Drosophila melanogaster: one gene and its partner. The protein of the gene in region 1 interacts with the protein of each later gene in a pairwise test. Each region holds a gene or a part of one and is shown on either strand. Other genes may lie near its edges. The genes, in order: CG17122 and CG18766.

Evidence for each region.
Region 2: the proteins of CG17122 (region 1) and CG18766 interact in a two-hybrid assay, tested with the Drosophila melanogaster proteins (2 studies listed by BioGRID).

Annotation. Positions count from the first base shown.
Region 1 is NT_037436.4:20,266,808-20,282,933, reverse strand, and holds CG17122 (uncharacterized protein), read left to right. Parts: upstream 1-7,598; 5' UTR 7,599-7,679; coding exon 7,680-9,476; 3' UTR 9,477-9,545; downstream 9,546-16,126. Other genes in the region: gogo (golden goal), read left to right, coding at 3,108-3,246, 4,064-5,281, 5,620-5,750, 9,717-9,947, 11,130-11,418, 11,484-11,648, 11,712-11,997, 12,048-12,486 and 1 more; CG32228 (uncharacterized protein), read right to left, coding at 14,373-16,126.
Region 2 is NT_033777.3:27,234,407-27,251,175, reverse strand, and holds CG18766 (uncharacterized protein), read left to right. Parts: upstream 1-5,926; 5' UTR 5,927-5,986; exon of another isoform or gene 5,987-6,159; intron 6,160-6,357; exon of another isoform or gene 6,358-6,530; intron 6,531-7,231; 5' UTR 7,232-7,347; coding exon 7,348-7,353; intron 7,354-7,412; coding exon 7,413-7,729; intron 7,730-7,800; coding exon 7,801-7,923; intron 7,924-7,985; coding exon 7,986-8,466; 3' UTR 8,467-8,841; downstream 8,842-16,769. Other genes in the region: TTLL6B (tubulin tyrosine ligase-like 6B), read left to right, coding at 344-768, 826-1,122, 1,180-1,333, 1,398-2,032, 2,094-2,634, 2,698-2,808; CG5984 (uncharacterized protein), read left to right, coding at 3,358-3,502, 3,581-3,955, 4,021-4,316; CG17991 (uncharacterized protein), read right to left, coding at 8,960-9,844; PolA2 (DNA polymerase alpha subunit 2), read right to left, coding at 10,073-11,902; CG31068 (uncharacterized protein), read right to left, coding at 14,905-14,952, 15,010-15,116, 15,192-15,261, 15,315-15,679, 15,739-16,769; CG31064 (uncharacterized protein), read left to right, coding at 13,353-14,172.

The DNA of each region.
Region 1 (16,126 bases):
CTAGGCTGGTCAGTAATGCACTGGGAGAAATATGGTCAGAGTTTTTTTAATACATGAGAGCATTCGTTTGGAACTTAGTTGGACCTAAAACATTTTAATTTATCCGTATTGAAATATAGTTAATTTTTTGAATTATATGATTAACTATATTTTAATTGTGTATGCGTTTTCTTTATCTGAAAAATCATGTTATTTGAATTCTAAAAAAATAACTAGTGCGGGTATGTTTAAATTATAGATATTCGTTATAGTTAACATTCCTAAATACTAAACATGTAATTTATTTATTGACTTTTCGAATTGTTCGAGTGACTCGATAGCGAATTAGCGCTCTCCGCTGGGCGGCAACTGGGTGGCGACTGGTTGGCAGGATAACGGATAACAGCCGTTCAAAGGACCGCACAGTGCAGTTAATAGTTTTCCAATGCCGCCGGGGGCACACACGCACTGCCCTCTGACCTCCGACCTCCGACCTCCGATCGCCCACAGCGACACCGATAATCATGTTGATGGGCCTGCACTATTGAACAAGAAACTTCAGCCGGCTTTGTCAATTGAAAATGGGAAATTCGGGTGGGTGGGTGCTACACAATCGAAAAAAAGAAAACCATTCTGTGGGCTCTCCTCTTTCAATTTGGTGCAAATGTCTGTTTTTCTATTTGGCCCCCTGCACGATTTCCACTACATTTCCCACACTTTCGCAGTGCGCCGGATGACCATAGGATTTGTCCGTAAGTCGGGCTATTTGCACATTTTCCGTGGGGGAAACTCGTCTTCAAAAATCATATGCGACATGTTCTCGTTTTCAGTTCAGGGAAATTCGAATTGAATTTGTATTATAAATGTAAAACATTTTATTTGATGGGAGTAGGAATATATTGAATAATTTAAGACCTGTAACATTGGCGTCTTAAGAAGGAGGTTGTATTTACATTTTAATAATATAACAATATAAATGTGTTAAAACGTACTTATCATTTAAAGGCGAAATGAATGTGAAAATTAAAGAAATTTCATAAATTATTGGTTTATTCACTCAAATGTTACTACCAGCAATTTTCAGCTAAATTGGATAGAAAATCACCCAAGGTTGTGGTATTTAAATGTTTGATTTTAGTATTCTCACATTCGAATTAGTGTCTTAACTAACCTTTCTAAAACAAAGAACAGCTATACAACATTCAAGGCATTCGTTTCCGAAAGACAGTTCAATTTGAAAAGGGAAACACGACATGGGTTTTCCATTTCCATTCACAGCCAACGGTTTCAAATCCATGAAACATCCATGGGAATAATCGGCTATAAAACTGAATGATTCTGGCTGTAAAAGGCGTTCGTCCACAACCAACTGTTGTTGGAAAACTCGAAAGCGGGTAAATGCGAACGGACGCACGTGTGTGCGGCAATTGGCAGGACCAACTCATTAGCGCAAAGGGCGTACAGTGTGCTATATAGCACACATACAGCACACACATATATAGCCGCATATAGCGTATAGCATCTGGTCATCGGGCGATCCGTGCGTGTCCGCAATTAAGGTGCTGAAAAGGACGAAGAGGGTAACATATCCCAGTGACGCGACAGATTTCGCTAATGACCATGGTGGGGGTGAGTGGGTATCCACTGGATGCCTCTTCCTGTTCACTGAATATCCGACACTAGCCCAACCTGAACCACCTTCGGAACTTTTGTTGATGAATCGAAAAACTACGGGAATTAGATGTGCATGTCAGTCGGGAAATTACTGGCTATGCCACCTTATCCTCGCCAGCTGTTAATGTATCGCCGCCTCTGGTCAGGGATCAAAAAGTTGTTAATATTTTATTTGTGGCTGATTATTTAATTACGCGGAATGGTCGCTAGCTACCCACTGGGAGTCATTATGTTCGCCATTAAAATTTGCCCATATATACGTCAATTTGGTTTTATTTTAGGGCATTACTTGAGAATTTACTTGAGAATAGTAATCTTAGATATCAAATAGAAATTACGACAAAGAACAAAATAAATGCTGAAGTATATGGAGTTTGGATTAAACTATTGTTCAAAAAATCGAGTCTACTCGCAATTTATTTAGGTATTGTCTAGTCACTCCGAATCTTGACTTTTCCTTCTTTATGTTTGTTTTATTCCTTTGTCCTGGAGCATAACTTCCAACGAAATCGCATTGAATTGTGGAAATAATCGCCATAAAAATGTTTCGTGCTCGACTAGTAATTGGTTTGGGAATTTATGAGGGTTGATTGTATTTCTTTTTTTTTTTTTTGCTTCCCCCTTTTGAAACATACATACAGGCATAGAACAGGTCATATATGTGGGGTTTTTGGTTGGGGGATGGGGAGTTTTAATGCCACAATAGGGGCCATTGACACCCTTTGTTGGGAGTTTATTTTAAAGCTTTTTTTTTTACTTACGGACAGTTTATTTGTATGGAGCAAGAGTTGAAGCTGTTAAAAATACGGCCCTAAGTCCTATTCAATAATGATTCATAAAAAAGCATAGTCTTTTTGTTCATTTTGTCATTATCAGCGGAATATGAAGGATAATAAATACAACATCAATATCTGAGATAAGTTTTACTTTCTTAACTGCTGTTTAAAAGCACTTGTTAAGTTTTTACTGTAAGACCATCAATATCCCAGAATAAATTATAAAATCAAAATTGAGTAAGGAGAAATGAGATCATCATAATAATTTCGTTAGTGAGTCTATAAATGTGCACCTCAATTTGTCTTGAATTTGATTTGTGTGCCTTTCAGTAAAGTCAACTTTTTTCTTTTTTGCAGAAAATGCCTGGCAGGTAGACTTCTGTCTTTCCTCCACAGAAGGCCAGCAACGTCGCAGCAAAAATTTTCCTCTGGCGATGAAAGCTAAACAAATGACGCTCCTTTCATGAGGGATTGGGCTAGGAGCCATCTGCCGCGCCATCGCCATCGCAATTGGAATCAGAATCAGAATCGCAATTGCAGAATGTGTGCCAGCGACGTGGAACCTTTGGTATCCTTCCACTGAGTGGCAGGCGGAGATTCTTTCTTAGACTGACACCTCTGATTGAATCGGCAAGGGCGGGAGGAAGTAAGGGGAGATCGAAGGGAAAGCCGAAGGAAATGCGGAAAAACTCAAAGGAAATGGCGGCGAATCGGAGGCGCAAGAAGACAATCGGCATGCTGACATCGGGACTGAAATCAGTAGTCAAGTGGAAAATTATTGTCTCATCCATAATGTTGCTCTTATTAAGCGGGACAAGTGAGTGAAACTCATTTACGGCACTACATGTGACTGCCTCTGACACATTCGGCCTGAATAAATACATAAATTCATTTGTACGCCCAACAGGCGTATACGCAATATTTGGATAGCACACAGTAGATACTTTGAAATGGTCAGCAAGGCGTTATCCAAATCATGTTGTTTCACTATACAAGTGCAAGTGCAAACTTTACCAGGGGAGTTTACTAGTTCTGGCATTTTCACCATCTGTCATTTTGAATTCGACAACGAGATGTAAAACCAACTAACAGAAATACCCTTTATGTCCTTGTAAATATATTTAGGAACACAACTATTTCACAAAATGCACAAGAGCTTAAGGATCAATTGCATTAATATTTGAATATTTTTTTGTAATATAATATAATTAAAAAATCTTGCAATATCTAGGATATTAGGTATATATTTTGTATATTCCGTTTAAAATAGAGATCAGTAGAGTTGAGTCTTTATCTATCCACAACAAAAAAAGAGAAAGACATCAAACTTCGTGGCTGTGGATGGAGTTTTCCTTCTATGTTTTTGTTTTGTTTGCATAATTTGTACCCGGGGGAGTTGCTGGATGCGAATGCGACTCAATTTACACGACCTGGGTGGAGTGAACAATGGCCGAGGCTCTTCAATGGGTCCAAACAGAAGGCAGCCACACGAAACAAATTACAAGGATTTATAATTCTTATCTCTCCGCTTTGCTTTTCTCTCTCTCTTGTTTCATGTGGTGACTCCTTGGAAATTGCCGGCATTGTGTACTCCTGCTACTGCAATTTGGATTCGGATGCGGTTTCGACAAAAGGTCACGTGCTGGCGGTGCGAAAGGGTCGTCTGATGTCCCCCAGCACATTCACCGCCCTCAGCGGGGACCTGCATGTGCAGATCCAGTTCAATGGGAACGAGATGTCTTCGCAGGCGGAGGAGGAGCACACCATCGGTGGTGGCCCGTCCAACGAGGAGCCCTTGAGCTCCAGTGACGGGCTGAAGAGCAGGAACAACACCATAATGAGCACTTTAGTCATTAGCAAAATCATTGATGAAGTGGAGTCACCGCTGGAAAAGGGTTTGACTCCGGGCCCCGAGGTAACCAATACCAGCCAGGTGGTGCTGCATCGCAAGCGCAAGGAGGTGGTGCAGAATATACCGCTCTTCCCGGATCCCCGATTCAATGTCACCCAGGTGACGGTGCCATGCCAGACCTTCCTGATCGGAGGACGCTACGAGATGCAGGTGGTGAGCAATCTCAAGTCGGTTAACCGGAGTGAGGTGACCACCACATTGGTGCCCGCGCAGGATGAGCGACTCCACCAGACGCTCGATGTGCGATGGCCCAGTGCCGAGATGATAGTGAGTCCGGTGCGCCTGAAGACCTATCCCAAGCATCCTGTGGAGGTGACCCTCCGCTTTCCCGAGGTCAACTGCAATCAGTCGGGCAGTCTGGCATTGCCGGAATTTTGGTTGGAGCTAATTTACTGCGGCAAGGATCGCAGCTGCAATCGGAATATAACCCCAACTAGTGTCCTTTTTGCGGAGCAAATACGCGGATTCCCCAAAAACAAGAGCCTCCATCTGGGATGCGAACTATTTGGACTAGCGGGAAACTATGCAGTCCAACTGAGACCGATGATTCCCGCCCAGAACGTGCCCACCACCCGGCGGCTACTGAGCGTCGATTGGAGCGACGAATTCGTGTTCAACGTGTATGCCCGCAGCATATTTCCCTGTGATCCGCACACGGGAATCGGTGTCCTGTACGAGTATCCTGGCTGCATTCTCGAGCAGGGCGACCGGGTGCGTCTTTATGCTAGGCTGCGGGCCGATGTCGCCTCCCTGAAGCCACCCACGTCGCTCCACTATGTCTCCGAGCAGCGGGTCGTCAAGAGCCAGCATTCCCTGTACTTTGCCTGCGAGCACTTCTCCGAGAAGTACGTAGAGTACTGCTTCGTCTACGTCAGCCAGGCAATTTCCGGAGCCGTAGCCGATGTCCGGATGGACTGTGTGCCCACCCTGCCCGTCAGCGGTGAGTGGTCGATGGTGCATTAACGCCGTTTTTAACTCCATTAAAAGGAAAATCCCAATTAAGCTGGAGTTCAAATAGTTCTTAACACATTATTGCGTGTGCTCGCTACACTGAAAAAAATACCCTTTTAATTACTATTTCGCATTAATTTTTAAAAAAGCATAACTTCAAATTTTTTCACATTATTTAAATTTTAATCAAGCCCTAAAGCATTACAAAGGCATTTTTGAAATACATAACCCTCAAATAGTTTCATTTTCCCGCCCCATTATATTATATATTTAAGCACGCTGTATAAGTTTTGAAGTGATTAGCTCATGACACCACTCTTTCCGCAGACTCGGATACCGGTGGCTGGGGACCTTGGAGCGAGTGGACGCCCTGCTCCACAAATTGCTTGGGAGGAACGCGCAATCGCTACCGCTTCTGTGACTCACCACCCCCGCGATATGGGGCCAAATTCTGTGAGGTATGTAAGCCCAAATAACTCGCCAGATTAACCTCTGAACGACCTCTGCCTCCCCACCTGATTTGACAACGTTAACAGCCAAAGTTTGATTGAGTGCTCCCAGAAATGATTAATACTTTGGCGCATCTGAGCCATCAAGACGATTTCAATAAGTGCGGAACTACAACTAAAGACAGGCGAACTTCGCCCGACTCTGGGGACTTCGTTACCCAAGAGATTGCTTCCAGCTTAGTTCACACATTACACTCGACTTTCCTACACTGAGCGAATTCTAAACACTTTATATTAACTAAAAACTCTCAGCTTAGAACATATAAATGAGGGCATAGCCAAACTCAGCTAAAACTCAAATACAAGCTCAAACATTTTCATTAGTGACGAAACAAATACATTTTTTTATATTCCCAAAAGTAAAACGGATAAAATCTTGAAATTGAAAGGCAACTGAGTAATTCCTTGCAGTGTAGCCCGCCGGGGCAAAGTGGAACTATTTCATTGTTTTTGTTTGTGGGCCATGCCGTGGAGTGGACTGGCAGCCGGAGTGGGTGGCTTCGGCACGGTATGTTATGTTGTCTGCAAGCGTGTTTCCACACTGCGACACTTGCTCCAGATTGCGTGGGGAATTTACGACGCTTCCGACAATTGTCGGCCTACTGCGCCACGCTTTATCTTGTTTCTTTTGTTGAAGCGAGTGGAAGAATGAACCTCCGCCTCCGTCACTATCTGTTCCCGCACTGCCACCATCCACGTCCTCATCCGCGCATTTCATTATCCAAAAACTTCCGGCATCAGGATCCAGCGATAGGGGCACATTTGCCCGTACTTTGCCAACTTGTTCGGAACAATTACAGGCAAAGTTTTTAAATGCTCCGCACACTTATTGCAAGTAGTTCTTACACGGGAGTCGCGGACGCCACGGATGCTGGAACAATGGATTCGCCGTGAGGCGACTACAATTGCGTGGGCGGCTGTGTCCATGGGCCGGCTGCTGGAGGAGCACCCGGTCGGTGGGTGCCACACCCACACCCACTTGCCTCGACAATTTGCATTTGCCCCCAAAAGAAACGCCCGGAGGCGTTGCCGCCCATGTGCGTGTACAAATATTGCCCCACGGGCTATTAATCAAACAAAGCTCCCACACGGCAGGCACTATTTGCTTTTAGAAAACACGGGGAATAACCTTTTGTGACCACAGAAGCACCACAAACTCAAATTAGTGGCTTTCTAGTGGCGCTTTAAGCATTTTAAGGCAGTAAAATGTTTACCATATTCATGATTTAGGCAGAAAAACACATTTAAATTAAATTTAAATAGAATTTAACCAAAATTGTTAGTCATTCTGGGGAGAAAAATTTATAAAATGGAGCTTAAAGTTATATATCTATTTGTAAGGGGATAGCTAAAATACCTCTGAAAAAAAACTGATATTTTTAATGGTTTTTATAGAATATATTTGTCCAGTTTGGTTTATTTAAGGTAATGCTGTGGTTGAACTAAAAAATGATTCTTGTTCGCTGAGTTTCACTCTTTTCCCAAAAAAGCCACATCTGTAATGATATTCAGGTTCGCTTCCGAAAACAATTGGAAATAATAGTACATGTGTATACATATAACAAATGGATTCACTTTAAACTCTTTAGGTCCTTGGAAAATGCTTTACTAAATTAATAGTCGAGTTCCTTCCAGAAAATAAAGCTTTATGGTCAAACAGTAAAGGATATGGGTTCAGCTTTGAAAAGCTTTAATTTCCTTGACAACGGTTCATCAACTAGTTGTTATAACAGAGCTCATTTTAATTAAACAAAGAACGATGGGTGTGCAAATTCATACTTATAAACAATGTCACTGGCGTTTTGTAATTCTTAAAATATCAAACACTCGTCAAAATTCGTAGACAGTCAATTCTGATAACGAACAGCAGCCTCAAAAATGCCGCCGAAAGTGAAGAAGGAGAAGAAGGATGTGAACAAGGTGACCCAGGTGGACAGAACCTTCTACGAGCTGACCATCACGGATCTCAACCAGAAACTAGCTCGACTGCGATCCCACGTGACCACCGTCGATGAGTCCAACATCACGCTGACCGAGAAACTCAAGGAAGTGGAGGCCGATGGCGTCGACGTGGCCGCTCACTTGGAACGCACCCTGGCGGAGAGGAATAACTCGATCACCGAACTGGAGGAGCGCCTGGTAGAGATCACCAAGGTGCGGGATGTGGAGAACCGCGTGGCACAGGAGAAGATCGGCGACTTGGAGTCGAAATACAAGGCCATGCACGACCAGTTGACCTCCGAAATAAAGCTGCTTAATGGCAAGCTGAATTCCCTCGACGAGTTCCGCATCCAGAGGGATGTCCTGTTGGCCAAGTTCGATGAGCAGGAGGCGGATCTCAATGAGCGCGAGAAGGATCACAAGGAGGCGCTCTATAATATGGAACAACGAGCTGTGGTGGAGAAGGATGCGCTAAAAAAGGAGGTCGAACAGAAGCTGCTGCAAGTTTCCGAGGACTTCACCCGGTCCAGTGAGATCCGCAACGCTGGCTACACCCGCCGCCTGATTCGTGAGAACATAGCCCTGCAAAAGGAGATCGATCTACTGGTCATGTCCCAGATAAAACTGCAGCAGGCATATACCAACCAGAAGTCCAAGCACAAGGAGATGGAGGAGCAGTACAGTGCCCTCGATCAAATCAAAAACGAGCTGGTCCGCAACTCCGTGAACAAGATCAAAATCATTGAGGGTCTGACCAGGAACTACGAGAAACTGAAAGCCAAGTACGTGGAGGTACTGCGCTACAAGAAGGCCTATGAATCCCTTCTCCAAGCTGAAAAGTGCGAGAATGTCAAGCAAAAGGATGCGGCCGGAAAACTCCGGACCCTGGCCAAGCGAATGGAGATTTTGGATCTGGACAATCGAAATCTGGAGGTGGTCCATGCCCAGCACGAGATCGAGATTACTCGACTGCGTGGAGTCATTCAAGAGATCAAGTGCACTGTGCGGGATGCGATTGTGGCGGAGCAGGCAGCCAAGAAATTCCCGGAGAGATTAGTCGAGGCCAATGTGGATGATCCCGCAATGATAAATGAAGTTCGGGAGGAGGCCATATCCCTTTGCAAGCTGAAACGCAGCGATTTGCTCTCCCAGCTTATGAGCATCGTGAGCTCCCATTCGGAGGAGCTTCCGAAGACTCCATCGATTGCCTCCATTGTCAGTGCCACCTCATCGCTGTATGCTCCAGGTAAAATGGGCTTCATGCCCACGAGACCCAAAGCAACGCCATTCGACGCCTTCCGCAGCGAGGTCATCGAACAGGAGCCGGATCGCACCGTTCCGGAGGATCTGCAAAAGCAGAAGATGCAGGATCGGCTAATGACCTCGTTGCGAGGTGACGAGAATACCATAATCGATGTGGAATTCGGCACTACTCTATACGTTTCATCATCGCGCGAGGACGATCTCATTGAGGTGGAGGAGGAGCCACTGGAGGAGCCAGAGGGTTCCACCAGCTCCATGTCTGTGAAGAAGGCCAGCAGTGAGGGTTCAGTGGCTCCGCCCGAAACCGTACCGCTAGCCGTTTCCGCATCCTCGAAGGACATCAAGGGTGCTCCCAGCATTGGGGCTCTGGACACACTGACGGCCACATCCAAAATGACGGGTGTTACCAACGAGGACGAGGGCGAGGAGGAAGGCGAGGAGGAGGACTTCGATGTGCAGTTCGTCTACTAGAGGGATATGAAAATTGAGTTTACTTGTAGTTCCAATTTTGTTGAGTCTTGAATAAATATGTGCAAAGTCAAAAACGTGTTATTCTTTCGTTTAAATTCTTTAAATGTTTCATTAACATAGAAAGACTTCATGATAATTTCCATAGCTCATACACCTCTGCAGTTCGATTCGTCACTACTTTCTTTTCTTTTGAGCGCTTTTTTAAACTCTTAATAATATAATTTACATATGTATTTACAGGGTCCTTCGGTTGAGACCCAAAAGTGTGGCAAAAGCATCGCCGACACGTGGGACTGCATTTACGAGACTTCGGGTACAGTCATCACCAAGGAAAATAGCACCGAGGTGAGCCAGGAAATTGGACCAGGATGTCGTTGCGGCTGCATTGTACATCTGGGCTCTTCGAAGCCCAAAAGGATCATTGCTGGAGCCACACAGAGCTGTCCTGGCCGCTCATTCTGGCTAATACAGGTACAGACTATTAACCAATTCCATAACAACCTCTCAACTTACCAAAAAAATATAAAAAAAAAAATAGTAGAAAATAGGGAAAGTTAAGTGACGCTGCCCTTTGGCATTTGGTCAAGTTTTGAAAGCTTTCAAGTTGTCTGCCGCCATAACTATAAAAACGAACAATGCCAAACACTCAGATGTCCAAGTCCATGAATAAAATTCCGCTACGCTTCGCAGGCTGCCCCAAAATGACAAAGAAGCCCCCACTCAATGCTCCATGCCACAGGGCAGTGGTGCTCCGATCTGGACGCACATCGCTGGCCAAAGGGGGCTGAACTCAATTCATGCATAATAAATGCCCCACTTGGTAGGCGTTTTGGCCAGTCCCCAAACTATCAATGCGTAAGGGGTCCAATGGGGGTGAGCTGAACTTAATGTACTCGGTATTCTCGGTAGGAAGGGGTATGCTCAACGCTATCTTGGGAAAAGAACATCCATTGTCTTTTAGTAGGTTAAAAATTGCATGGAAATAAATTGTTGGAAAAAAGGCAAGAAAAGTGAAAGAAAAAAATTAACAAACAATTATTGGATACAAGCAGATTTATTGCTGGAAAAAATAATATTGAAGAGATTTTTAGAATAGAAAGAATCTCGGGTAGAAAAATGATTATTGACTCCGAGCTATACTATCGAATACTAGGAAACAAAGTAGATAGGAGGATATAAATAAATATTATAATGAAGAGGAAATAAATACCATATATATATTCGTATATAAATATACGAATAGAAAAAATTAAAAATTTAACTTTAAAAAATTATGAATGTATTGCAAATGTTTTTACATTTTGCTTGATACAACACCCTCTTGACATTCCACCAGATGTTGGGACCCATAAAGAGGCCTGAAGTCCAGTATATATATATATATTCAATGGGTATCAGATGAAAGGACTATCGACTTTTCCATCCATACACACTTTGACTCAGGCCCTTTTTTGTTCGATACAATTGGAATGATTAGACCTGCCAATTGACACGTTCGAGGGATGAGGGGAATGTGCCAATGGGCAGGAGGCTTAATGGTGATGAATGCCTGACCCACTTCGGCAGCATCCGCTTGCCCCATGCCCGGGAATGTGGGGAAACCCCAAGCCAATTGCCCGTATGTTCACGAACACAAAATTCCTTTTCTCGCAGGTGGATGGTGAGGAAAGCATTTCACTGGCACTGAGTTTCCTCCGCTTGCCTTGTGCCACCCAGTACATAAAGGTGCGCGATGGACCGTCGCTTTCGTCCACCCTTCTCGTGGAACTCAATGGCGGTGGACTGATCCTCAAGGGAGCCGGCGTTCCGGTGGTCGTCGATTCCACTGGTGGCCAACTCCTGGTGGAGTTCTCTGCCGGCGATGGACCGGCGGGCAATGCCACTCAGGAGGCAAGTCCAGCCTGCACCGGGGGATTCATGGCCAATGTGCAGCAGCGGTTGGGTGAGTAAAACTTCGATAAATATTCAACGAATTTAATAATTTAATTTAATTTAAATGTTCAACAGCTACAAGGAGCAGTAACAGTAGTATCACACTTGTGGCCGCCACTCGTTTGTCTGGAAAAACTCGCTCTGTTGTCCACAAGTCCATGTCAAGACTTCGATTTACCCTGGTTCATCTGAGTGCCATGATCTTTGCCAGCATAATCATCATAATTAGTTCCCTTTTAGGTGGGCTCTTGAAATATAAGTATAGATTTTATAGATGGTAATCACCACTTCTATCGCTTCTAGGTGCCCAATATGTGGTGCGATATCGGAAGTATCACCTGGCAGTGGCTCGGCGACAGGACGAAGGATCCAGACTTCACACTCCCAGAGCATCGCTGAGTTCCCTGCAAGGTCCTCCCTCACGGGCCATGTCCACAACAACTCTGCTTTCGGAGGTCATTTACATGGTGAAGATGCGGCCCAAACACCACTTGCGACACTCCATTCTCCGCGAGAGCGTGGACGCCGAAAATCTGACCAAAGAAACGGAGTTCAAGGAGTCGGATTCCCAGGGAATGCTGGCGAAATGGTAAGGCTAAAAGAGAGGTGGAAAAATAAAGCTAACTAAACTCGTTGCAGCGCGGAAATTAAGGAGCTGGGAAGCTCGGCCTCCATGGTGACTCTGCGCAACGAGAGATCGTCACCAGCGCGATCTCTGGATACTGGAAGTATCATTGGATCACCTTCCTCTGCGGAAGCCGAACTGGCTGCGGTTCACAGCAGGTCAGAGTCCAAGGATTCCCCCTCGGATGAGCCAATAGAGCCGCCGAGCTGCAAGGACAGCGCCAGGGACTCGGAGTCCATCATATCCTCAGGAATGAGTTCCCTGTGCAACAGTCCACCGATGAACAGCAAGCGACTGAGCAAGTACTCTGATCGCTACGATGCGGTGACCCTGAAGTTACTCTCCTCCAGATTGGATGAGAGCCTGCAGGATGCCAGCTCCCTACTATCGGTGACCGAATCCTTCAGATTGGGTCGCCTGAGAACCCGTAGTGTCAGCTCTTCCCTGACGAATGTGAGTTACGAGGTTACACTGGAATTTCTTCAGCTAAAAATTAATAAAATTAGAAGAGCTCACTAATAGTTAACTGTTTCAGGGTTGCTATTCACCAGCTGCCAGTGTGGTTAGCACGGCGACCATCAGGACGACCAGTAATCCCAAGGAGTCCAAGGAGAAGCAGAATCGAAGGAAACTCCTGGCCCGACCAGGCTCAGAATTTTCGCTTGGAAATCAAGAAGAACTTGAAATGGATTACTACGATTACAATGTGATCAATGCAGGATCGGCACCGGGCTCCTATCTTGGAATGGATCCGGCTTACCTTATCTGGATACCACCATTCGAAGAGGTGGCGGAGCGGGAAGAGGACGACAAGACTCCAGAACCGGAACCAGATCCCGAGAGGGATGAACGGCAGCCGCTGTACGAGGAGATCCGGATGCCCAAGTACGGACACTACCTAAGTCCAGCCAGTAACACGGAGTCCAGCAAGTCCACAACGGCTGACAACACACCCAGCTCCGAGGAGAGATCCCCGCCAGATAGTGGGCGTCCCTCAAAGGCCACCTCACCCTGCGATGGAACCGAAAGGGGTGGAAGATCCATGCCCAAGCAACCCACTCCCTTCATGTCCAGAAAACAGAGACGCCAGTCCAAACAGCAGATGCAATCCAGTTTGTCCTTGAGCGCTGGTTCGCTGGATCATGAGCAGCGACGCAGCAGTAAAGTTCCAATCGAAATTGCTGCAGTGCATCAGAAGGTGGAAACCGAACTGGAACCCAACGACTCCATGACTGGCTCTTATGTGGAGAAGGAAACTGCCGTGGAGAAATCATCGGGGGATCTGCAGGAGTTTCTGTCTCTCGATGATATTCAGTTCGCCGACGAGAGTGGCAGTGACTACGAGGCTGTAAACCTCAAGAAAGTACCCAAATCGGAGCTCCAACTAAGCCAGGATGATGCTCGATCCAAAATCTTGCGAAGAAAGGAGCCGAAGTCAAAGGAAGTGGCCGTGTAACACCAAGATATAATTGTACATAAAACCAGCACAAGAATAGCAGTATATGTTTAGTATAGTTTATAATACGATCTTGTAAAATACGGGTAAATATAATATATACATATATCAGCACCATACGAAACGTAGACCACCTGGAGTAGTAGTTGTGTTTTTAAAGCTAGGATTAAAGATCGTCTCAATAATATGTAAACTTGAAAATCGAAAAGAATATAGAATGTAGTCTCCACAGCTCTTCTTTAAGCCTAATCTGTTCAATCTCTCGTTACACTGTACATATATAAGTTAGCTAAGGCTCACTGTAGTTTAAGTATTTATTCGCACTCGGCTATGTACACAAACCAGTTTATATTGATTTAATTAATGGATTTTATTTGGCAATTACTTGAATTTATAATTAGAGAATTGGAATTATGAAATTTTGTGATCTTCATTTTGTGCTTGTAAGCATTGGAAAAATTCTAGTCAATACATTAGTCAAAATTAATTAGCATTTAAAATCAAAAATGTTTTTGTTTCTAACAGTTTTAAAGCCTTTCTATATCACCCCGACCTGTAAGATAAGAAAATAAATAATAATGAATGGAATAAGATGTTTTTGTTTTTTATTTTATTTTTTTTTTTTGAGTGGGGTGTCTATTGTTAAATGTCAGCTATAGTAATGCAGCGCAAGTTCATTTTGACAAAAGATGCATTTATTATTTAATTGGCTTTATAAGCATGCGGATCTGTCAACAACGATTGCACTTTCTTGCCAAATTCGCATGAAATATAGAGAAATGCATCAAATGACTCATTGTTTTTTTTTTTTTGGAAACATATATTAGAACTACTCTTCCTGGGAAAATAAATAGATATACAATTTTGGATATGAGTAATATGATTAAGTTTCACTAGGAAAAGTAATTAAATTACTTTTCTTAGGGAAACTAGACATACTACTCGCAGTGCCGAAAATATTTATCCTACTTTCCAGAGTGTAAAGTTCTTTTTTGCTGAGATCATGCATGTTGATGGCTTTAGTTTTATTCTTGGGATCCTTGGGCAGGATGTTAAAAGATTTAATATGGGGCTCTTCTATTTTTGCTCTGTATGTCAATAGTTCCCGACGCCTTTTCTCTTTTCTCATCTGCTCCATGAAAGGTGCTTCCTTTGCTCCGTGATTGCCTCTAATAGTTCGGCATATAATGCAGGCACTTTTTTTCCGAACAGGCTTTTCATTTTTAATCTTACGAGTATCATCTGGAGGTCTTAAAATGGGCTTCGAATTTTCCTTAATTGCTTCAGATACCTTTGGCTGATTCACCTTTGTGACGGTCGTCTTATTTTCATATATTTCTGTATACGGATACATCAGCAAATCGCTATCGGGTATTCCTTCGATGTCGATTGAGGACGTATCTGTATTATCGATCATGCTGTGACGGTTAAGAAATTGCTTTACCTTGAACAATCTCTGCTGGTACATTTGCGACGTCGTATCAAGATTGATTTTTCGAATCTTCGAGTTTAACCTTTCCAGAAGGCTTTTGCGTTCCAAGGTCCTTCGATCCGCTGAGTAGATACTGCCGCTTCTATAGGAGGTCTCGTCCTCATTATCATCTGAGTGCTCTTCGTAAGGATAAACTGGTAACGCTTCTATTTCGGTTTCAATAGAATTTGTTGGCGTTGGCGGTGCGGAGTTATGCCGAAAAAACCTTGATTTATCCTTTATTTGAGACACATTAGTAGTCGTTTTAGTTTTCCTTTTTAACTTAGCAGTGTTCTCTTCAAAAATATCCTTCGGCTTCTGTTTCTGACTGGAAATTTGTGAAGAGCTAGATGATGATCTTCTTACCAATATTTCGCTATGTTCGTCCGGATTTCCGATACTTCTGGATTCATTTATAACATTTAGAATTCTATTAATGGGATACATTTTTCTTGGCTTGGAAACTATTTCTTCTTTTACTGGCGCTGTACTGCTTTGAATTTCCTGCTCGTTAGATTTTACTGACGTTGATTTAAAATTTTTCTGTATATTGTTGGCAGTTGTATCAGTATCAGTTGTGCTTTCCACTAGGGATTTCTCTCTAATCGTAGAGATTTTCTTTTCGCGTGTCCGATTCGAATTAAAACGCATTTTTGATCTTCCCAAAATATAAGAATCTGTCTTTTGCGGTTTTAATGTGGAGAAGTCTTCCTGTTCCTTAAACGGATTTAATTTCATTTCTTTGATTCTATAAATCTCCGTTCCAGAACGCTTATTTAAAAGCGGAACACCTGTCAGCCCTTTTGAATTTCTTCCTTGAACAACATATATTGTATCAGTATTATTGGCATTAAATAGTTTTAGTTTTAGCTTGGACTTTCTTTTTCTCCTGCCTGATTCTTCGTTGGAATTTCTTTTTGTATCACTAGCTCTTTCAGTTTTCTGTTCAGGCTTTTCGTCCATGTTTCCCTGCTCCTCAGTAGAAACCTCTTGGATCTTTTGACCATCTGGATCTGGAAGCTGGGTGGTGGAAAAATTCGACTTAATCTCGGAACCCACATTGAATTGATCGTTATATATACTTCTCTGTGGGATTCGATCTGCACCTCTACCCCGAAATGGCCACAACTGTTGGGTTGCTTTGTGCTTTTCGGATTTTGAATTGC
Region 2 (16,769 bases), on another chromosome or scaffold:
TTGTAAATGCTTACCCTATTGTTTATTAAATATTTTTGTACACTTAGTTGTTAGTGGTATGTTTGATGTTCGGAGAAACTAAATTTATGATATGCCCCAAATCGATGATTTAAAACTCAAACGACTCAAGCGACGTGGCCAGTGGAGCTACGTTTTGATTTTAGCGTCATTTCGGTTATAATTATTTTCATTTTCACAACACAATCATCGCAAAATAATATTGTTTTTATTCGTGACGCAGAATTCCGGCTCTAACCATTGACACGAATCAATTTTATAGATATAGCTTTTAGCACGTGAAAAATTTTCAATTTTTAATCAAGGACGACCAGCGGACGAGACAATGAATTTAAAAAATTCCAAGTTTTTCAAGAGGATTCAGGAGCTGCGCCACTTCTCCAAGGAGAAAATACGGAAGGATCGCGAAAAGAGGACCCACGTTGTTCGCGCCCTGGACATGGCTCTTAATGAGCAGCCGTGCTTGGACCGGGAATGGTTCAGTCCGGAGCAATCACCGCCACTGCAGCCCATGTCCCCACGCCGCCGGATGAAGAAGACCCGGTGCCTCAAGAGGAGGACAGCCGCCGACAAGCAAGTGGATGATAACTCCCCATATTACGGACCATCTTCTGGTGAAAACAGCCCAATGCCTGCTGAGGAAGCCAAGCTGCAGGGATTCATTCAACTGAACAACAAGACCTACCGAGTGGAATGCCCCACTCGGGTGCTCAATCCTCCCATGAACGTCGACGAGGAGCGGCCAGCCAGGTGATCTTCCTTAGCTTTGGATCCTTATTGGATAACGCATCTAACATAATCCCCCAGCGAAACCAAGAGTACCATCTGCGTGTCCAACTCGCGCTACGCCATGATTGGGAAGATCTCCAAGACGCTGGGCTACAAGTTGGTTAAGGAGTCCAAGATGTGGAACATCCTCTGGTCGGATTCGTTTCCCGGCGTAGAGCTGTTCAAGAACATGAAGCGCTTCCAGCAGATCAATCACTTTCCGGGCATGATCGAGATCTGTCGCAAGGATCTGCTCTCGCGGAATCTAAATCGAATGCTAAAGATCTTTCCACAGGACTACAAGATCTTTCCCAAGACCTGGATGCTGCCGGCGGAGTAAGTAAACCCCAGCCTCACACTGAAAGTGCTAATCATTGATACCAACGATTTCAGCTATGGAGATGCCATGAACTACGCGCTCAACCACAAACGCACGTTCATCCTGAAACCGGATTCTGGTGCCCAGGGTCGTGGCATCTGGCTGACAAACGACCTGAAGACCATAGGTCCACATGAGCGCCTCATCTGCCAGACGTACATACACAGGGTAATGTATCCGCTGTTCATCCGGAATCCCATACGCTGGCTAACCATCGCATCCACTTTTCCAGCCCCTGCTCATCGATGGGTACAAGTTCGATCTGCGTGTGTACACCTTGATTACCTCCGTGGATCCCCTGCGCATCTTCGTGTACAACGAGGGATTGGCCAGATTTGCTACGAACAAGTACGTGGAGCCCACGCCCGGAAACGCCAACGATCTGTACATGCACCTGACCAACTACTCGGTGAACAAGCGGAACTCGCACTACGAACTCTGCGACAACGATGACTGCGGCAGTAAGAGGAAGCTGAGCGCAATCAACAACTGGATGCGGCGACACAACTACGATGTGGAGGAGTTCTGGAGCAATGTGGACGACGTGATCATCAAGACGGTGCTGAGTGCGTGGCCAGTGTTGAAGCACAACTACCATGCCTGCTTTCCGGGTCACGACAAGATCCAGGCCTGTTTCGAGATCCTCGGCTTCGACATCCTGGTGGACTGGAAGCTAAAGCCGTACATCCTCGAGGTGAACCACTCGCCCAGCTTCCATACCAACGAGCAGGTGGACAGGGAGGTAAAGCGGCCGCTGATCCGGGACACCTTGAACTTGGTCAGCACGGTGCTGGCGGACAAGAGGCAGATTCTCAAGGAGGATCGCAAGCGGGTCAAGCAGCGGCTGCTCAAGATCAGGGGAGACCCGTAAGTGTCTCATCATCATGTCAGCATCATCATCATTGGTAACCCACATATATATTTCCAGACCCGTACAACGTCCGCGTCTTGGTGGCGGCACCTCCAAGCCCAAAATCGATGCCCAGAAGGGCAGTCCGGATGCCCAACCCGTTGATGTTGAACCCGAAGCTGAGGACCATGGTCCACTGGCCCAGCAAATCGCCTGGGAGGAGAGTCATTTGGGCAATTTCAGGAAGATAATGCCGCCACCAGACTTGAGCAAGCTGGACTACTACACTCGCTTCTATGCCCAGTCGCACCAGGTGTCCATCTTTGCGGAGACGGCGGCCAGTAAAAAGCGAGAGGATCTCGCGCGCAAGATGCGCATCCAGCTCGAGGAGAAGAAGGCCAAGCAGCAGCAGATGCTGAACGGGAAGGCCAAGCGGGATGCTAGGAAACGACACACCGTATTGCTGCCGCGGGCTGTGCGCGAGAAGAACCGTATTAACTTCTTCCGGCTGAGGGAGAACTGGTCGCCGGGCTTCATATCGGACGCGGAGGAGCGACTGCGCCACACCTGGCTGCACATGCGGGCGGAGGCGATACGAACGCTCAAGATCACCGAGAATGTAAGTCGGTTCACTTCCAAAAAAAAAGATACATTTATATTTAAAGGAGATATTCGTCCACAGATCTACAGCAATCTCTACGAAACTGGACTCCTGACCAACACGGACATGGTCGTCTATCCGCATCTCTATCACAACTTGCAGCACGGCTACGACATCAAACGTACTCCATAGTCAGTCATTTCGCCCAACTCCAGCCACACAGACTACTTACACACATCCACGATGTGTTATTCAAATTCGTTATTTAAATTTAAATTGCTGCTCGTCACAAAAAATGTAATAAAATTCTTTCGAATCTTTAAAATAAATATTTGTTTAAATATTCAGCGATTAACACATTTTATGGAATTTTTAGTTGGTATACCTTTAATTTAAGATTCACATTAAAATTTACTCGATTCATAACAATTTGGATACTCTCCTGCTTGGATTGGAATCGCATCTGGCGGACTTGCATCTATATCGTGTATATTTGGCTGGCTGCCCGGCACACAAGCATCGTAAACATTTGCCCCAATCGGATGGCGAGAGCTCCGCCATCGCGGAGATCGAGAATCTGGCATTCCGAGAGCAGTTCGCCGATTCCATTGAGATGGAGAGCAGCGAGTTCAGTCGGTCGAAGGAGCACGCCCCGGGCAGTCGCCAATTAAATTGGGGGAAACTATTTGGAATCTTTTAAAAAAATCGATTGATATTCGAATTGGAGAAAATATCAGCGGCATGTTCAAAGTGTCACAGGAGATGCGTCTGAACACGCAGGCCGCCTCCTCCGCCTCCGCCTGCAGTTCGAGTGGGAGTGGCCTGGAGGGCAATAGTCCGGAGGAGGGCGGTATTTTTGGACGCTACCAGCGAACGCCCGATGCGGGTGAGTAGCGTCGATGAGGAAGTAAACATCGAACCGGCTATTTATACACTACGAATCTCGCGCCCCCCAACTCTTTAGATGCCTATCCCTCGGAATCGCCGCGCGTCTATGTGGCACCCGAGCTGACCGACGCCGGCAAGGTGCAGCTGCTCCACTTTCCCAGCGGCGCGGTGCGAGTGAACAGCCCGCTGGGATTCATCATCAAGCGGAACGGGGTCAAGGGAAACTTCGAGGTGCGCGTCGAAGGTCCCAGTGGTCAGCCCATTCAGCCCGTTCGGCAACAGCAGTTGGATCCGGAGCGCTTTCAGATCGATTGCCAGCTGGACGCCGGAGCGGGTCTCTACAAGGTGCACATCAAGTGCAATTCCGTGACCCTGCCTCGCTCTCCTTTCATCATCGTGGCCATCGCAGGAGCTACCGAGTCCATCGATGGCAAGCCCGCCAGTTCTTCAGGTAGGATATGTCAAAAAAAAGTGCACGAAAGCTGTGATAATCAATTGGCATCTTGTGTGCTTTAGTGCCCATCTCGGACTCGGATGCCAGCCGAGTACAGAGCCGTGGCCTGGGCCTCACCCATGTCAGCTTGGTGGAGCGCAACGAGTTCACCGTGGACTGCGGCCAGGCGGGTAGCAACATGCTCCTGGTGGGCGTACTGGGGCAACGCGGTCCCTGCGAGGAGGTGGTGGTCAGGCACCTGGGACGCGGCATACACAGGGTCACCTACCGCGTGTGCGATCCCGGTGACTACATCCTGGTGGTCAAGTGGGGGGAGCAGCATGTACCCGGATCCCCGTTCAGCTTAAGTGCGGATTAGCCGTAGAAAGTAAATGTGCCTGCATAAATCAGCTGACCTTGATGGGGCGCTACTGCCACCCATCTGCCTCACTTCTCAATGGAATCCTGCGCAGCTTCTCCGGGCGATTTCGCCCCACCTAATGATGATTGCCGATGATAGCGTTATGGGTGCTCCTTGCTGCTCTTTTCCCGCCACTAATGACGTTCGCATTTGGGAGCTGATGCTCTCGGCGCCTCACAACCTAATGATGATGACCGGCGAATATGGAGAATGTGGGTAAGCTGAGTATGAGGGGGCAAATATGTAGTAGTAATGCGTACACTTGAGGTTAGTGCAATAGTCACAAGTTTGGAAAATAGTGAAATATACTTAAGTAAAAGTAATAATACATTTTAAACACTAGCATGCATTTACCATTAAAAATATATTTTAGCTAATGATTCATTAAAATAAATTCACTAAAATAACAGTTATATAAGAGAGGTGCCATCTTAAAATTATATTAAAAATGTTGCACAATAAATTAAGATAAGTATTGTACTATACATATAATAGTTTAATATGATTTGATTTTAAGGGTAACTATTAAGCTGACCATTATTGTTTATAGAAATGATAAAAGGTGGGGGCTGCACGATGATGTTGTAGCTATTAAAATGTCAAGTTCTTGAAGATGATGACATATTCATTTTGTATTCCTAAACAATCTGTACTTAGTAACAAAAGAAAAAGATACATATTTGCAATATAGAAATTTGTAAACACTGAAGAACATAATTGTTTATAATAATATATTTAGGGAGAATGAAAATAGATTGATATTCAACTAAAACCTATTTGAAAGTAAAAATATGTGTCAATAACTAGAAATTTACGTAATATATTTTTCAAAATACAAATAAACAACATTAGTTTGTATGTCTATTATTAATTATCTCAAAGTTTACTATTTATATAGTTGGCTAGGTTCGTAGATTTTTGAATATTTGGTGACCTTGTTATTGGGATTTCGCTTCCCCCAATTTCTTCTTCCTCTGCCTTGCCCCACCCCCATCGCCTATCGCCCCGCCCCGCCAGCACTTTTTCATCGAGACGATGTGCAATTTAATGATGATTACCCCACAAGCAAAGCCAACTGACGACGACTTTGTGGCAGCAGCGACATTATCATTTTTTGTTATTTAGCCCGCTAATGACGTTTGCTTTTGTTGTTGTTGTTGTTGCTCCATCGCACAACCTAATGATGATGATGATGACCGGCACATACGTGTCGGTGTGACTGTGCCAGTGTGTGTGTGCATTATGCTCCAAGAAAAGCGATTTGTTGAAGGGAGGCGGGAGTAGGTGGTGGTGATGATGATGATGAGCGATGAAATGCGCTTGCTTTGTTGCGCCCTAACGAGCCGAGATTGAAGTAAAAGTACTGTATTGAGCACGATAAATGGCAGATGACTTGGTTCTATTGGCCTAAAGCCGCAATAAACATTTTCAATTTCCCACCTTTTGGCGCTGTTCGAAACCCCAACGCACTGCACTGGCGACTGTCTGGCAACGCCATGTCACACTAGCCGCACCGCTCACACCATGTTGCTCTTGCCATGCCATGCTGTCTCGCTCACGCCGAGAACATCATTATAGAGTCGAATTGCGAGAGCTGCGCAGCGTAGGAGCTACAAACTACGTTTTTCGTGTGTTTCCCTCTTGAAGATAATTAAAATTTAATTATTTGACTTATTATTAAGTTTTGTGCCCACGCTGTTGGCGTCGTAGTGTTGTTGTTTCGCCCGTTGTTGCATGGAGCAAAGCGAAAAACGTAACAATAGAACGCAATCAACGCAAGAAAATCGGATGTGGATGCGATGTGAGTGTGTGTATCTCTGAAATGGGAAAAGTGTGTGCGTGTGTGTATTCGAGAAAAGTAACCTCTCACCCCCCGCGAACTTACATATATGTACATTGGCTCCAATGCTGCTATCCCGCAGCCGCCGTCGCCGTCGACGTCGGCGGAGCATCTTCATCCGCATCTGAGCCCAACTCCCTTCTACACTTGAGTTACCGCTTCACTTCGATTCCAAACGTCGCCGCATCCACTTCTCATCTTCTGCTGCTGCCGCAGCTGCTGCATGCATATCGCAACTTGTTTCGCTCGCACAATTAATATTTGTTTACCGTTTACCGTTCGATTTGCATTGCATGCGTGTGTGTTTGTGCGGGAGCGGCTGAGCTGCGTCGGTGTGTGTGAGCCGGCTTAATGATAATTGAAAGCTAGAAAATAGACAAAGTACACCGACTAGTAAATACCCTTTAGTGCCAGAAAATGGGTTGTTAGCCAATGGGATTACGGTACAAACAACACGGAAGCGACAATAACCCATTTTAAAATCATTGGATGCCAAATTTAAAACAGTTCCTATAACATTTTGTTTCCTGTGATAAGAATTGTTAAAAATACTTGCGTTTTAAAAGTTTAAGCTGAAATTAATTAGTGAATATAAATAGAACTTCAAATTGTGCATAATTATATCGTATAGTAATTAATACCCATGACAACTAGGGAATGAGTCCTTCTAGGAGCTTAAAAATACATAAATATTTCTATGAATCCAAACTCTGCTGCAATATAATAGAATTTTATGTGTATTACAACATTATACCCTTTAATTGCCGCGAGAACTAAGTTAACTATGAAATGCAATCATTCGTAACCCTTTTTGTGGGAAGGTATTAGGCTACAAAAGATTAATTACCATTTCAATTCAATTAAATAGTCATCAAATAGGTGGCTGACCATATGTTCGGTTGTTTATTTACGTGTGGTGTGCACTTTTTAAGAAATCCCTGAAACTCATAGGGATTGCAATATTAATACGTCTAACAATACAAATAGTAAACAACGACACCTGCACGTTAACTAATCATTTGATTTATTTCAGGAGCGAATCCGTGTACAGTATGCCAGCCCACTAGATAAACCGCTTCATGTCCTCCATCAGCTGGCAGACGAAGATTGTCGGGCAATCCCATTTGTCGGCAGTAAGACCCATGTGAAATGCCTGTAAGTTGTCTTTGGAATCAGTAGCTTTATCATCAATATAATCGTATACCTATTCGCAGTATGAAAAATTCAACAAAAAGCGCCGACAATGGGAGGATAGTGGTGTTCTAGAGCTGATCAAACTATGGAAAGTCTGCGCCTATGAGCTGCGCACCATTAAACGCAATGGCCATCTGTATGTGGCAATGGCCAAGCAGCTAACCTCGCTGGGCGTCCCTGTTACCGCACTCGAGGTTCACTTTAAAGTCAACAATCTAACGCAGCGCTACCGGCAGGAGCAGAAGACCTTTGAGACCACAGGCATCATCAGCACCTGGAAGTTCTACAGTCAAGTGGATGATGTGTTTAAGAGTCTGGCCGCACACACCGGTTACAAGTTGGTTGAGATATGATAGATACTTCCCATATAGCAATCCCAAACTAACAAAATATCTTATTATTTTCCAGAGACAAACGCATGACAAGTGCGTCCAATACGAGCAGCTTACCATCCACATCCGAGTCACCAGTTTGGAAGAATCCAATGTCTCAGCAAGAGTTTAATAGTAACAACACGGAGGGGTTCTATAAGTAAGCACTAGCATTGGAACACCTTCCTCACAACATGTTTAAATAACAATTGGGATTTGCAGGACCGAGTACGGGATGCATCGGCACTTTATGGACCACTCCCAGCCACCACCCAATGCCGGCAGCGTGGACAACTTCATGGCCTCATCGGCGGCCGTGGCGGCGGTGGCTGCCGCTGCCTCAGCCCGCCTGGCGGATAACAACATGGATCAGCAAATGAACACGGCTGCCGGTGGAAGCGGTGGCAGTGGTGGTGGTGGGGGCAACACCAATGGAGGCGTGGCCAACTACCAGAAGATCAAGAAGTCGCACGAGGACTACGACAAGTTCGTGGACATTGTGAAGAACATCGTGGACACGCACAAGAGCACTCCCGATAAGGTGGACACGTTCGGCGACTTCATCAAATCGTACATGAAGCGCTGGCCGGAGCGGCTGCAGGACGAGGCCATCAACCACATCACCAACTATGTGATCGTGAAGAACATGGAGCACAGCATGGTCAGCAGCCACAATCCCGAGGGGGTGAACAACCGACAATAACAATACAAGCAGGAGCCCAACAACTGAACGAGTTGTTGGACGACGCAGCTCCAGGAACCAGGCACAGAAGCCGAACGAAGTGAGACGTTAGGCGAGGATTACTTAAGGTGGCGCGCAGTTACTTAACCGCATCTGAGTTGCGGCCAAGTTCATTGGACACACACACGGCATACAGTATTTTTTGTATAGTTAAAATATACATTGGAGTTTTAGTTCTCGACGATCGCGCCCTCGATACAGAGTTGACTTCCGTAAAGAGGGGGCTGGATCGATCAATCGTGCATAGAGATCCTAGGGAGTACATTACATTTAGACACCATTTCCTACTGTTAGCTGTAAACTATTATGCATAAATTAATAAATGCTTTAACGATTATTTATGATTGGTAGTAAGAATGCACTATTGACACGTAGTCTTAGGAAAATTGTACACTTTACAATTTAAATAGATATTCAAATTACTTCTTGCTTCTCTTGCAGATCTTGAGTTTACCTAGTGTCCGTCTGCCTCCGCTAGGTTTTCCTTCGTGTAATCCAAAACACGACGCTTCATACGACAGATGTATTGGCTATGCATGAGGTACATTTTGAGGAATCCCTTGATCGCTATGAAAGTCAATCCCCCAAGAAGAGTTTGTTGCAATCTATCGTCGACAGAGCTGTAAAGAACTCTACCCACGTACATGGATATGGTGGGCAAGAGGATGGCTCCACAGACCACCCGCGATGCTGAATATTCGGTCATTGGCGCAGAAGGGTATGGTTCGGTCTGGTGGTCATATTTCCGTCCTAGGCACATCATTGAAAGACTTCGCAGCAATGAATAACATATTCTAATGAAGCGCAACAGGGCATCTTCCCAGGGAATTAAGCGTCCAAGTATCAGAACTACCGAGATTAATGGGAATCCGACCAGAACAACCAACAGGTCTCCCGATTGAATTATTTGATGAACGTGACCTTCCTGACCAGTGATCTGCAAATATGTTTTTGCTCCGAATGAAACCGCTGACCAATAGGCAAAGACCACCGTGAAGACATTGGCCAGGCAATTATATAAGTTTGTTAGGATAAGATCGTTGGTCAGCTCCAAAGCCCTATCGAAAATCCAGAGATTCGGGTATGCAATGGTGTACTCCGTTTGGCATTGTGGACAGGAAACGGCTTGCAGATTGTTGTTTATTCGGGTCTTCTCGTCGATCCAGAGGGAAATGCAGCTCTGGTGCACCCACTTATTGGTTCCTCGGCAGAGACATGGATTCACCCAAGCCTGGCGACCTGCCTCCTTATCGGTCTCAAAACAGATCCAGCAACAGCGCTCCAGTTCCGTCGAATCTCCTCCAGCTGAAGCTTGTGGCGCAGCAACGTTGCTAGCCATTATTGATCTTGTTGTATATAAAACTTGAGTCTGAGAAAACTCCAGGGCATATGTTTACAAATAATACAATACCTACTTTGGCCCAAAATAACTAATGCTAGTTGTTTGTTGTTGAATGTATTTTGTGAAAAGTTATGACAAAGTAGTGTGTTCATTATATTAACTAATAATATTGTACTGATCTATTTCCCACTATCCTTTCCTTATCATCATCACAAAGTGGTCAGGTTAGATGCGTTGGACTTGACACGCCACACTGTTGAACATGTTGGCCGCCTTTCCCGGCACCGAAGGCGCCACCAGGAATCGGGCGAAAGTTCCACCCTTCTTGTCCGCGACACGGCCGGGATTGATCACCAGGCAGTCGTTGACCAAGCGGATGAAATGCCGCTGATCGCTGGGCAAGATGAGCACATTTGGTAGCTGTTTGAGCTGTGCATATTTCAACGCCAGCTGGGAATCGTAGGCCATGTCTTCGTCCGCCGGCGGATACAAAGGATAGAAGGAGCCCTGGTGGAACAAGTGGTTGATGGCCCTGTGCATCCGCTCGCCGGCATTCACAGCAAACTCGTGACTCAACAGGTGGTCCACCACGTCGGTTGAGGTAACGCCCAGCGTAAAGCCATCCAAGTCCACCAGAGATGGATCGGGCAGCATGTATAGATTTGGATAGGTTCTGCGCAGAGCGGGCGGCGGCGTTGGATATACGGAAAGAGCCATGGCATCCTTCTGACTGGTCACCACCAGCACTGCTGTGTGACTACCAATCGACTCCATTATTCCCCCAATCATCTTCTCGAAGAATGTATCGAAGGTCTCGGCCAGTTCGCCGACCATCTTGTGATCGGCATCCAGGAATGGTCCCGTGAGCACCAGCACGTCAGGTCTGTGATCCTTGAGGTACTTGAGCAGGTCGTGCAGCGGTTCGTAGAAGAGATCCGTACTGTCCGTAAAGGGTCCGGAGGCCACCACAAACTGAAGCTCCCTGTCTATTTGCAGTGGCGTTGCTGGCGTCAGTTTGCGCTCTGTGTGTATCTCCTCTACCATGAAGGTTTTGCCCCTGGGTATGAACCCTTTGGCGAGCACCACTTGACCTGGGAATATGCTGGCAGACTTGACCCTGGAGAAGTTGAGCGTGAGCGTTGGGTCCATTTCATCTTCTACATCGTCATCTAAAACGGCCATAAATGCGGAGTGGGCGTCCAGTGGGCCATCGTCCTCGGAATGAATCATTCCCACCGCGTGGAGTCCACCTGCGGACTGCAATACCTGCCTATCCTGCGGATACCAAATGCACTCGGCTGCGCCTGCTTGTCCAAGTTTCTTGTCCACTAGTGCCGGACCGGTTTGGTTGAAGCGGACGCGCAGGTTGTGACATCGGTCGGTCAGCAGGTCGTTCATGTAGCCCAAATTTGCGATGGTCAGCGGGGCGTCGTTGTGCAGCAGTTTTTGAGTCACCGGAACCGTGTGCTCCATTTGTGACTGCCAGCTGGAGCCAGCCAGGAGTTTGGGATGTCCGAAGGTGTCAACTATATCGCCCGGCTTGCCGGCCACTGAGTTGGATGGTGTTTCTAAACCTGCTTTCCTCTTTGCCGATTGGGGTGTATAGCTGGCGGGGCTAAAGAGTGCGGCGCCCTTGAGATTGGCGGTCCGATCCGACTGCTTCTTGGCCTTGGGCGTGTGCAGAGCGGAGGAGTCCACTGCCGATTCGCTGACATAGTCATCCAGCATGGGATCGTCCTCCATGACGCCATAGGTGGCCAGTGAGCTCGTATCCTGTACAGAGGGCGAACCATATGATTTCGCCTTCTGGCCAGTTGCCTTGTATCCCGCCTTGTCCTTCCGCAGCTGCAACACCTTGCGCTCAAAGTCGCCCAGATTCTCGATCGCAGGATCCTCGCCTTGGAGGTGCGACAAACTGAAGGCCATCCACTGCTCCACGAACTCGGTGGCGTCGTGGATGTTGTAGGTAATGGCCAGCTCCGCACACCTGCCCAGAACTGCGTCCGCTGGCTCCACGCCCATCTCGTCGAACTGCTGCTTCAATTCCTCCTCCATTCGTTGTCCTTTCGTTGGGCGTTTAATTTTCGTAAATAAACCTAGCAATTTATTTTGGCGGTAAAAGTGGGCACAGTGTTGCCACCCTATGATGCTTTTAACACCTGCTTGAGTTTTCTTATCGATAAGCATAGTCAGTTCAATAACATAACAGCTCCCATCGAGCTGCGATAACCGTGATCTGTAACCAGTGATTGTTATCGCCCATCCCCAATCGCAGTGCAACAGCTGTTTTAATTTTGTATTGACAAACTTTTTTGTTTACCCGCGTTCAAGCGCAAAACAAGCGAAATTAGCGGCTGTAATCGCGTCATTTTGATTCATGTGACTCCGCACAGTGTCCTGATAATCGCCGCGAAGCAAGTGATTCGCCATGAGCACGGACGATCTGCTGGTGCGCCGCGAAAGGAGTGAAGACTCCCAATCCTCGAGTGTCTCCATTCCGGTTACGCCCACCACCGGAGGTGCCGCGCCTGCGCCCAGCGCCCCCACGTCATCGCTGGACCGCCTGCGGAACACCTTCCGGCGCACGGAGAGCATCTCCTCGCAGATCTTCAGCCACATATCCACACAGTTCTCGAATGCGGCCGCAGCAGCCGCCTCTTCCGAGGTAATCGATGGCACCACCACGTACCCGTATCCCGACGAGCCCGCACCACCTGTTGTACCTGTTGCGCCGGACACGGTGGCGAGCGCCAGTGCTTCATCCCCGTCGCCATCGAAACTGAAAGCAAAGCGACTGAAACGCGGTGAGTCCGAATTATTATTCATTCGATGATAAGCAGCAATGGAAACCAAATTTCCATTGTGCGCTAATAATAATATGTTAAGTAATAATGTTGCATATATAAAATATATTATATATAATATATATAAATATATACACATATATATTTAATATAACAATTTAGGTACTCAAAACTATTCTAAAATGTATTTATTAATTAGTATTAGCAATTTCGTGGGCTGTGCGAAACTGTCGTTGAAATATTTCGGTACTTGTATAAATAATATGATTAAAAATAACTTAAAAGTGCATTGGGAAAGTGTCAAAGGTGATTTGCGCACCACACACAGCGTGACCATCGAGAACACCCCCAACGAAAGCTCGCGAGGAGCTTGCGAGCTTGGCGCACTGGACAAATCAATAGGATAAAGAACTTTTTGCCAGTCTTACTCAACGCGTACACAACAGGATAACGGTGCAAAATCAAAGCGGCGAGAACTTTCGGTTATTTTGTTAATTTCAGAAGTAAAACCCTCTGGAAAAGAGGTTTACAAAAGGAAAAAACCCCTCTAAGGTAATGAAAAAACAGTTGAGGGAAAGCGGCAGCAAAGGAAACTCGGAACTTATTGAACAGCTAATATCGATATATGTATATATCTGTATTTTTATGGACGCCCACGCACACACACACACTACTCAGGCGTACTTTGAAGCAGCAGCGAAATGCGTGGACTTGTCGAGGATACAAAAAGGACCAAGTTGTCGTCGGCGAACAACAACAACCTCAGCAGCACCAGCGGCAGCGGTCGCATCAAGTCGAGCAGCCTTGCAACAGGATCAAGTGCCAGCGGCAGCAGCTCGAAGCCCTTGAGAAGTGCAGTGAAAACGCCAACATCGGGCAGCGCGACGTCATTGTCGTCAGGAACAATGGCTGCCAAGAAGGCGCCTCAAACGGGGCAACAACAAGTAGGCAAGTCTGCAAAGTCCGCCACGGCAGCAACTCCAACTGGCACAACAGCAACAGCAATTGGAGCAACGGCAACAACAAGGGCGCAAGCAGCAGCGGCGAAGAGCCAAAAGGGTCAGAATCCACCCTCACAACAAGTGCAGCCGAAACAGCAGCCGCCACAACCGCAACAGACACAGCAGCAACCCCTGGTGTTGCAGCAACAACAGGCGAGCAACAGCAGCAATACGATTGCCTTGCCAAAGGCATCGCATGCCAACACCAGCGAGGAGCTAGCCGGCGGTGTCCAGGACACCATTTACCTGTGCAATTTCCGGGTATCCGTCGATGGCGAGTGGCTGTGCCTCAAGGAGCTGCAGGACATTGATGTGGCCGGCGGAACGGGCAACCAGGCAGCTCAGACCAGTGAGAAACTGGCAGGCGGCAGTAGTTCCCAAACGGGCGGCTTCGGGTCCAACTACAATGTGGGCTCCAGCTCCAGCAAGCGCAACAGCAAACGCTTCTCCGGACTGTCCACCGGCAGTGGAAGTGGCGGCAACGCCGGTGGAGGAGGCGGCTTGGACATCACCGACAATGGTATTATGGCAATTGAAAACCTTATCGGCCGCCGGCTGTGCGACATGGTCAATAGTGGCTCCTCGGCACTCGGCCAGTCCCAGTCGCACTCCCAGTCGCAGCACCAGAGTGTTGGCCTCTTCGCCGAGTGGTCGCATCTCTGTAGGTCGCTTCTTGTTGCCTCTGTTGCCAAGCACGCTCCTACTTTGTAGTTTCTCTTCATTTCTCGTTAGATTGCAAGGGCCATACAAATCCGAAGAACTCGAAGAGTCAAGTCATCATATTCTATAGGCTTCAGACTTTTCTACGTTATTAGTTTTCTTAAAATATTGTTTTTTATTAACATTTTTATCTTTCTTCGTAAGATATTGGCATTTGTTTATTGTGTAGACATTAGCTTTTATAGAAGACGACAGATTCTTATCAAGCACGAAAGTCTTTAAAATGTGTGAATGGCTAGATCTATGTTCTCGATTTTATTGGCCCTTGTAATCTTCCATCTTGTTGCATGCCTCTTTGCATTGTTGCACATTTAGTTGCTTGCTCTTAGTTAAAAGTTAAGTGATTTACCTAGGAAATACCCTAAGGATTAGGATTTCAATTAGGCAGTTAAAACTCCCATTTTAAAACTTCATTTTCCTTTCAATGGAGAAATGGAAAAGTTAAAAATCATAGGGTTTATTAACTTATCAAAAAATATACACTTAAGAAATAGGAAGGTTAAAAAACGAAAAAGGGTTAAAAAATTGCCAACTAGTTATCGTCAAAAGTCGTTTCCCAGCTGGGAGAGTCCTTTAAATACTGAAAAACCGTCAAGATCATTATTTTGGCATATAACATTTTGCACATCCCACTCACCTCTGCACCGCCCTTCTGTCGACCGGCAGGGACATCTGGTTTCTCCTGCGACTTCTTCCTGTGCAGAAGAGGATCATCGGATGTATCCTTGTACATTTCCGGTGTTGCTTTTAAGATGGCAGCATCAGAGGATTAAGTGAATGAATCGATTAGGCTTAAGAAATGACCAGTCATGCACTTACCTATCCTCACTTGTTTGGACAATCGCCTTTCTGGTGATGGCTGCTTTTTGTCTTCTGAGGATTTGGTCTGCTGGTGACTCTGAGTTCAGGATATCAAAAGCACGCGAAGCACTGATAACTTACCTCTTTCTTACGACCCGTCTCAAAGTCCTTATGCTTCTTCCGCCTGTCTTCTTCGCGGGCATGCCTATGTCGATGTCTATCCTCTCTGCTGTCCACTTCGCTGTCCGACGAGGGAATGACGGATAGGGTCGACTTTAGAGCGGGCTTACAAACGTCCCTGTAGGGAACTCGGCTAGGAGACGAATCATCGGAAAGAAGTTTGAGGGATGTGACCTGCTTTCCCACCGCATCTCGGCTCTTGTCCGGTGCGTAGTAGTCCCCTCCTTTCGCTCGGGAGAACTTCAGTGGCATGCACTTCCTGTTGAACTGACATCCCAGCGACGAAGATGAGGTGAAGGAATCTAGCTCGGGATTATTCGCATATCCTATAAACTCGAGCAGTTAGATTTAGTTGATTTAGTTGCCACAAACTTATTTGACTTACGATTGCTCGGCACCGATCTTTGTGAGGTGGAGCGACCAGAACCGGAGTAGTAGTACCGCCGAGTAGCATCACTTTCGTCCTTTTCATCTTTTTTTTCTTTTTCCTTCTCTGGTTCTTTGGCTTTCAGCGGCTCCTTTTCTTTTCTTGGCCTCTCTTTCGGCGGAGGAGCCTCTGCATCCGTTGGGGCAACCCTCTTCTTCCTGCCCCTTCGCATGCAACAGCAAATGATGAGCAGAATGAGGAGCAGAAGCAGGGTCAGAAAGGCGGCAATGCACCAGATCAGTGTCTCATCGTTGTCGCACTCGCGGCACTCTTCCACTTCCTCCGGCCGACTCTGAACCTTATCCAATCCGGTAAGCCATTCGTCCTGGTGCATTGGCTCCGGCCCCGACTCCTCGACTGGCCCTGAAGCCTCCTGCCAGTGAATAGCGGAGCGACTCATCTTGCGGGAGTCCTCTTTGGGACAGGATGGTGATCCCTGCCCGTCATTCTTATTGGTTGGCGCCCGGGCCTCCTCCTCCGCATTCTTCGCTTCTTTCGACAGCCTCTCCTGAATCTGCAGAATACCGCCCAGACCCGGGTAGAATACATCATCGCCATAGTGCATTTCCAGATTTTCCTTTATCCAGGCGAGCAACTGGCGATTGTAATTAGCCTGGCTAATGCCCTGAAACCGATGACAGTTGGTTAGGGTTTGGAAGAACTTCACCACGACAAATTCCGATTTGGGAGAACGCAGATTGTAGATGCGTCGCTTTCGAAAGGGCAAGTATATGTTGCCCATATAGCCATTCTCATCGAGCGTCTCCAGTCGAGGCAGGCTCACAATCATGCTCCCTTGATCCGGCTCTTGGGAAATGCATGTTTGATCCAGTTGAGCACAGCTGGAGGCATCCTCCTGGGAATAGCAGCTCTTGGGCAGCTTGACGGGTTCGATCTTTCGTACCTTGAACTGCGACAATATATCCTTGTCCGGAGCTCGCCACCCATTTCCGTTCGTATTGAGCGTCGTTTTGCACTGCTGATAAATG